Linked DNA regions of Oryctolagus cuniculus. The protein of the gene in region 1 purifies or fractionates together with the protein of each later gene. This does not show direct contact. Links are inferred from orthologs where the notes say so. Each region holds a gene or a part of one and is shown on either strand. Other genes may lie near its edges.

The links.
Region 2: the proteins of CDC25C (region 1) and SUFU purify together in Homo sapiens (affinity purification with mass spectrometry; 4 studies listed by BioGRID and IntAct, counting the BioPlex papers as one, with this or other methods). This does not show direct contact. The link is inferred for Oryctolagus cuniculus from reciprocal best matches to the Homo sapiens genes CDC25C and SUFU.

Annotation. Positions count from the first base shown.
Region 1 is NC_091437.1:26,122,325-26,126,139, forward strand, and holds part of CDC25C (M-phase inducer phosphatase 3), read right to left. Parts: intron 3,783-3,815; coding exon 3,693-3,782; intron 2,718-3,692; coding exon 2,619-2,717; intron 1,205-2,618; coding exon 1,046-1,204; intron 1-1,045. UniProt on the Homo sapiens protein: Functions as a dosage-dependent inducer in mitotic control. Tyrosine protein phosphatase required for progression of the cell cycle. When phosphorylated, highly effective in activating G2 cells into prophase.
Region 2 is NC_091446.1:27,383,418-27,387,232, reverse strand, and holds part of SUFU (suppressor of fused homolog), read left to right. Parts: intron 1-2,256; coding exon 2,257-2,413; intron 2,414-3,815. UniProt on the Homo sapiens protein: Negative regulator in the hedgehog/smoothened signaling pathway. Down-regulates GLI1-mediated transactivation of target genes. Down-regulates GLI2-mediated transactivation of target genes. Part of a corepressor complex that acts on DNA-bound GLI1.

The DNA.
Region 1 (3,815 bases):
TTGTATGTGAGAGAGAGAGAAACAGGTGGGGGGGAGATAAAGAGGTGAGCACACAAACTGCTTTTACACTGTGTCACATATACAACAATCCTATTGAAGGAGTAGATCATTATTATGCTCTCCACTGAATAATAAAATAAGTTAAACCACAGAATGGTTAACTGTCTTGCAAATGGTTTCAATATTAGCAAACAAGAGAAAAACTAGAATCCAAGTGTTCCAACACCACTATACCATATTTGTCTTGTATAATGAACACATGTTTAGGGGCCAGCATTGTAGTGCAGCAGGTTATACCACCACTTGTAACACCAGGATGCCATATCAGAGCCGGCTCCAGTCCTGGCTGCTCTGCCACTACCAATCCATCTACCCACTAATGTGTCTGGGAAGGCAGTAGAAAATGGCCCAAATTAGGGCCCATGTCACACACATGGGAGTTTCAGATGGAGTTTCAGGCTTCTGGCCCAACCCCAGCTATTGTGGCCATTTGGTGAGTGAACCAGCAGATAGAAGATCTCTCTCTTATCTCTCTATCATTCTGCCTTTCAAATAAATACAAAAAATGTAGAAAACCACATTCATATCCATATTTGTTTCTAAGAAATAGATTCAAAAATGAAAAATCCTTCAAATGCTCTTAAGCATCAGTATGTCCATGGCCTATAAGGTTCAGACCCTATATGTATCTTCCAGTGATGTGTCAAAGATAAATGGAAACAGAAGAAGGATACTGTAAGATACCTGAAAAATCATGTCAGGTACATTCCACCTATTACTATTATCCTGGAGTTGTTACTTAAAAAGATATCTGTGGTGATCTACTCAAACTACTAACTGCAATCTGCCCACCCAGCAAAATAGTCACATGGTGATGTGACACCCTATCAGTCAGGGAACTCTTAGAATCTAAAAGCCACATCTTCTTGATCTCAACAGCCTAAGCATTTGGTACAGTGGTTGTACCATATTAATACAGACAATACTCTTTATTCAAGAATGAAGGAATGTGAAGAATACAAAACATCATCAGAGAACACCTTACCTTGCCCTCTTCTTGATCCTCCAAGGAAAATTCCATCAATTCATCTGAAATCTCTTCTGCCCTATCTTCTACTGCTTCTGGATTTTTATCCAATTTTGGAAATAGAGTAATGGGACTGCCCAAATAATTCATCTCACTTTCCACCAAGTCTCCATTGTCCTGCCAAGTATATGAAAAACATTAAAAACTCTTCAAGATCCTGACCTTACACTGTATACAAAAATTAACACAAAATATATCAGAGGCTTAAGTGTAAGAGCTAAAACACTAAACCTCTTAGAAGAAAACACAGATGGAAAAGTTTAATGACATTGGATTTGGGAATGACTTCCTGGATCCGACACCAAAACTTGGTGTTCAGCAAAATGAAAAACTTGTGTGCATCAAAGGACACTGGTGGGGATGGCATTATCATAGAGTGGGTTAAGCTGCCAACTGCAAAACAAGCATCTCATAATATAGGCATCAGTTTGAGTCCCAGCTGCTCCATTTCTGATCCAGTTCCCTGCTAATGTGCCTGGGAAAGCAGCAGCAGATGTCCCAAATGCTTAGGCACCTGCCAGCCACATGAGACCAGATGAAGTTTTAGGATCCTGGCTTCGGCCTAACTTCAGCCTGGTCCAGCCATTAAGACCATGTGGAGAGTGAAGCAGAAGATTTAAGATCTTTCTATTTCTCTCTCTCTCTTTCTCTGTAAATCTGCCTTTCAAATAAATCTTTAAAAAAAAAAAAAACATACTAATACAATTGAGAACGTGAAAAGACAACATAGAAAATGGAAGAAAACATTTGCAAATTATAGATCCAACTAGGGCTTAATATCAAAATATTATCTCAGAGCTGAACAATAAAAAAAAAATACCCCAAACAGGACTCAGACATTTTCCCAAGGAAGATACACAATGGTCAAGAAAGCACATCATAAATGCTAATTGTATATTGATCATAGCAGCTCAACATAAATAATCATTTGTGAAATGCAAATCAAAATTACAATGAGATAAGATTCCAAACCAACCAGGATAGCTATTAGGACATTTCAAAAATTTGTAGGGGAATGGAATTAAGTTTATTCTGGTACAAAAAAATTTTAAATCCATGCAGTTTTTTCATTATAGGCATTTTTATGAACTTTCTGAAATACAGAGAGACACAGGCTCCCATCTGCTTCCCAAATGCCTGCAATAGCCAGAGCTCAATACAGGTCTCCCATGTGGATGGCAGGAATCCAATTACTTGAGCCATCATTGTTCCCCACAAGGGTGTGCATTAGCAAGAAGTTGGAATAAGAAGTGAAACTGGTACTCAAATCCAGGCACTACAATTTGAGAGGCAGGTACACCAAATGGCATCGTAACTGCTCCAACAAACCCCCACCTCTCCTTAAATTTAAACAAATGAAAAGGTCAGAGGACACATGGCTTCTCTCTTTCACTGTTTAAACTTTACTTCTCCCATCCCTTTTCTCATCCAAGTCATCTGAGGAAAAAAAAAAGGTCATAAACCCCACAACTGCCATCCCATAGCTCCTATTACCTAAATAAACCCTTAAGCATGATGTTCAGAGACTCACCAGCAAAGAAAGGGGCGACACATAAGGCCCCCTTGGTCTCTTTTGAAACCTCAGGTTCCTGGGTGCCTGCCACTGGGAAGGCTTCAAAGTGTTGCGTGCCTACATAAAGAAAATGCATTGGCAGGAGGAAGAGATGTACTAGTGGGCCCTGCCAAAAACATTTCATCTGATCACACCATGAATAATCTTCATGAAGCACATTAAATGTAATCAAGGCTGACCCTATATCCTGAAGATTGAAATTATGGTTTGAGTTTGATGTGTGGCACAGATTTACTGTGGCGGATACTAATCTGACGATCACAAGCAAAATGAATGGGGGGATTGGGGAAGAAGCCTGCCTGGGGAGAGGATGGTGAGATTTTTAAAGAGTGATTATAAAGGGAGATTAGAAAGGTAGTACAAAATCAAGAAAAAGCTGATTAGAATAGCCAGAAACATGGCATATCTTAGTCAACGGAAGAAAAGAACAGCATCTATCTTTTATGCATACTGACCTGGGGGAAGGGAAGCAGGAAAGAAAAAAAGATGGCTAGAAAAAGGGATTAGTTGAAGGGATTAGGTAGAGAATTATCTTCATGATTAGGGGGCTCTGGAGAGGCCAGTTTCAACTTGGAACTGAAGGATGTCCTAAGGCTTAGACAGGGAAGGCCATGGCTTCCTTAGGATGGGGGCTCATAAGCTAGACTAAGGGGAAAATAAGAAGAAATCAAGAAATCTACATTTGTATATAAAGCTATGTAAAGAATCTCTGAACAGATTATATAACTTAAACTATCCCTTTAAAAGAAAAACAAATTCCCAGTTCTTTACATTACAGTAACAGCCATTTTTGTTCTCACAGCAAATGAATATGAGTAATGATGATAACTTCCTATGGGGGACTTTGAGCTAGGTTTCTCTTCTAGGACCAAACCTCAATGAGAAAGAAAAAAAAAAAAAAACTAAATGTTTCCCTGTACTGATTCAGTTGGCTTATCTAGCATATGAACTGCTCCACATCTCACAATGATACCAATGAGTTGCTTCACTCAAAGAAATGCTAATGCATTTAGGTTTCCATTAAACACTCACATTTTCTTGATTTGTAGATGAGGTACACACTGCATCTTTCTTTCTGCGGCCATGGCCCAAAGCATTTGGAGTGCTACAAAGAAGCTGCGCCTAAAAGAGATTGCTTGCCGAGAACATCCAGAA
Region 2 (3,815 bases), on another chromosome or scaffold:
TCCTCCTTTGAGACACATGCTCCAGCCTGAGCAGTCAGATACTGAGCTGCCCTTCCTGCTGGCTAGGTCAGCATCCTTCATGTGTAAAGGAGTCTTCAGACACGCAGGCCTGCAGCTGCCCCTCACAGTGGCCCACCTGGACAGCCTCACCGTCTTTAGTGTCCTAGAAGAAGCACTCATCAGCATGTGGATGGATTTTGAAAGACCCAGGAGCATGCCTGCTTTTGCTATGGCCTGCTCAGGGAGCAGGAGCAGCAGGCATCCTACCAGGTGCCTGCCATGGGCGTGGCTCCTGCTCCCCCTCCACCAGTTGCAGGGCAGTGCTGTCTCTGAACCTTTCCTTCTCTAAAGCTCTGGCAGGCCACAGGCAGCTGCCTTCTGGAGCAGGGCAGAGGTGGCAGATGGACACGCTGCCTGCAGTCCCCGGGTTCTCTACTGCACGCCTATGAGGGCTTGGGCATGAATCTTCATTCACAGATGATGCTCCTCTGTCTTCCTAGTGCCTTTAACACTGAAACTTTCAAGTTGTTGCCAACATCCTCTGTTATCTCTGCTTTAAGTTTGGTTTCCTTGTAGCTTCTGCTTATGCAAGAACCAGGAACCATGAAGGCTGAGCCCTTTGTCTGCAGCCTGGTCCTTTGAAATAGTAAGGCAAGCAACTTGTCCTTTGTCTGCATGCTAAGAATAGTTCTCTGTGGTCTGCAGGCTCTCGAGACCAGCCCGCAGGACCCAGAGCACCCAAGTGTCTGTCAAAGCAAGTAGGGAGCCATGGGAGAAGGATGCAGCTTGCTTTCCTAGTCTCTGTGGACCAGGTGTGAACTCCGCTGCGTTCCCTTATGCTGCCCTCAGGCCTGCTTTTGCTGTCAGTCCAGTTTAGAACTGCTCCTGTCCTTCAATCCAAGCTCTGCCACTAACAAGCTGTGTGCCTGACCCAGTCTCCTTATTTCTCTGGCTCTTAACTCTTTCTTTTCATTTATGAAGTAGGTACACTGGACCAGTTTAGCCAGGAGGTATCTAGTCTTAGCTCTTAGCTGGGTAAAGGGCTTCAGGGCAGCCAGTGGAGAGGGAGAAGCCCAGGCTCTCCCCTCAGCAAGAAGGGCTCACCTGCTGCTACCTGGAGGACCCAGAGCCATTCCCTGCTGCTAACCTCTCCCTACCAGAGCCCCAGCGTTGTCCAGGCTGATGGTGACACTGGGAAAGAGGAGGGAGTGCTTGATGGGAAGGAGGTGTCCTAGGCAGGGACACTTGTGATAAGTCCCAACAAATGAGAGCAGTTTCCCCCAGATAGCTCCCTGACTGGCCAGTTTGGTGCCCATGATGCCATAGCAGGGCAAGGGGTGCTGATGAGGGGAGTGGGAGCACACAGCCTTGCTGGCATGCTCAGTCACAGGAGCTTTATTTGGCCCAGATGGCTGTGGATGGGCAGGGTTGCTGGAGCCTTCTAGATGACCTTTAATCTAAAACCCAGCATCTCAGCACTGTATTTTGCCAGAAAATCCAAGGATGTTTTGAGTACGGCTCTTCCTCGAGGCCATTTGGAGAGTGTTTGGACTCAACAGTGCCAAGACCTGCACAGAGGCAGAGCCTCCTGGCAGGGGGTTGGGGGTGGAGTAGGGACACTGTCTATAGTTGGTCACTGTCCTCCAGGCCCTTGTTCGATCTAAGAGATGGAAAAGGAACTCTATCTAGTGTCTTTTGCAAAACAAGTTAGGGGTGGCAGCCAGGAGACACCAGGGCTTCTGCTATTGGGCACATCTCTGTACAGCTGCACCCTCTAGCTGTTGGAAGAGGAACTGCAGACATGGCCTCCCTCACCTGTAGCTGGCTTCCCCTCTGACTGCTGTAGCAGGAAAGAGTTCTTGAAGGATCAGGGAGGAGAGGAGGAAGAGAACCTTCTTCAAGGAAGTGGGTCCTGTCTTTGCCACATCAGCTTCACAGGCCAGCATGGAGTGGGTAGGGTCTGGGCTCTGAAAGAGGAGGGAAAACCATGGTCCTGGAAGGCTGATGGTGGAAAAGCAGCTCCCCTTGGCTTTTCCATTCCTCCTGGTTCCCCTGCAGCAGTGCAGGGGCCGGCAGAGACAGTCGCATGCGGGAACCAGGCAGCGCAGCAGCAGAAGCCTTGCGCTGCATCTGTTGCGTCCTCCTTGGCACCTATGAGGGCTTGACACGTGCTCTAAGCATGGGAGTGGGGAGGGCAGTGGTGACTGTGGGGCCCCAGTTCTCTGAAGGAACTCTGGCTCTTTGGATCTTTTCAAGCAGGAGCGAGTTGACAAAGGCATCGAGACAGACGGCTCTAACCTGAGTGGTGTCAGCGCCAAGTGTGCCTGGGATGACCTGAGCCGGCCCCCCGAGGATGATGAGGACAGCCGGAGCATCTGCATCGGCACACAGCCCCGGAGGCTCTCTGGCAAAGGTGGGGCCATGGCCCGGCCCCGCTCCTCCCCTTTTCCCTCTCCAGGATGAGTCTTTAACGAAAACAGCCTGTTCAATAGTTTCTTTACTGGCCTGAGTTAAGCAGCAAGTAAAGTCTTCCAGCAGGGTGGAATTAAGGGAGCTTTATTGGCCCATTTATAGCTCTTTCCTGCGTGTGTTGCAAATACACCACCAGCAGGGACCATTGTGTTTTACCTTCAGGTCTTGCGATCTAGGGTCACGGATGTGAGTGGAAGCATTAGAACAGTTACAGGAAAAGCCCATAGTCCACCCAAGTACAAGAGAACAAGCACGGCCACCCACAGAATTGACACAGGGCCCAGTTCTGGCCTGAAGACCATGCCAGCCCTGGCGATCAATCATGTGAGGCCCACTTGCAAATGACCCCCCGTCGCACTGTCCTGTAGTTACAGAGTAAGGGGCTGTGGGTGGGGCACCCTGTACCTCTTGAGTTTGCATGAGATTTTGGGAAGGAAGATGAGTGTCCTGTTGGAAGCTCCCTGTGCTGGTCTCAACTGCAGAAACAGTTGTGGCTTTTAGCAGAGGGTATCCCAATATCCCAAGCCAACTCCAAAGGCAAAGCAGCTATTTTGTGTACGTGTGTGTCTGGCTTCTTGGTCTACTTCCTTTCTCTGTTTTTTTTTTTTTTTTTCTGATTTTTTTGAAGAAAAAGATCCCTTCAGCCTTGAATAGCACCTGCCTATGTGCTAACACTTGTGAAAGGTTTTCTCTTTCTGAAAAGGACAACTTAAACCCCTAGTGCAAATATTTGACCATGTTTAATCCCTTTCTTTCCTTCCTGTGTACCACATCTGTGGGAGATTCAGAAAGAGAGCACCCAGTTACCAGAATCATTCTGTTGCTTTTGACAAAAGAGGAAACTTAAGGAGGGATCTATAATATTATCTCAGAATTTAATTGTTCTTGACTAGGTTTTAAAAATTATAAAGGTAACCCATGCCACTGTAGCCAAAAAGAAGCTTGTAACCATCCCCTCCCCACTCTGAGCATGGCCCTTTGAGCACCTGATGTCAGTTTGCTGTGTTGTATGTGTTTACAGTTTGCAGAGTAAGTCTTAGATCAAAATCTGGATGCAGGGGAAAAGATTAGTACACTTTGCCCCAAAGACCACAAAACACCTTACAAGAAATAATCCCACCAAGGGACTCCTTTCTCACCCTAGCTAGCTCATGGGAGGCCCAGTTGCCTGGGACAGACCAAGGAAGGGATATGACCTCAGCATTCCATGACCCCGGCCCTAGAGGAAAGGGCAGCAGGGCCAAACCTTAGGGGACCCCCAAGAACCCAACTGGGAGCCAGGCACCTCCTCCTGGTCTCCGATGTGGGTGTAAGGCTCAAGCACTTGGGCCATCCTCCACTGC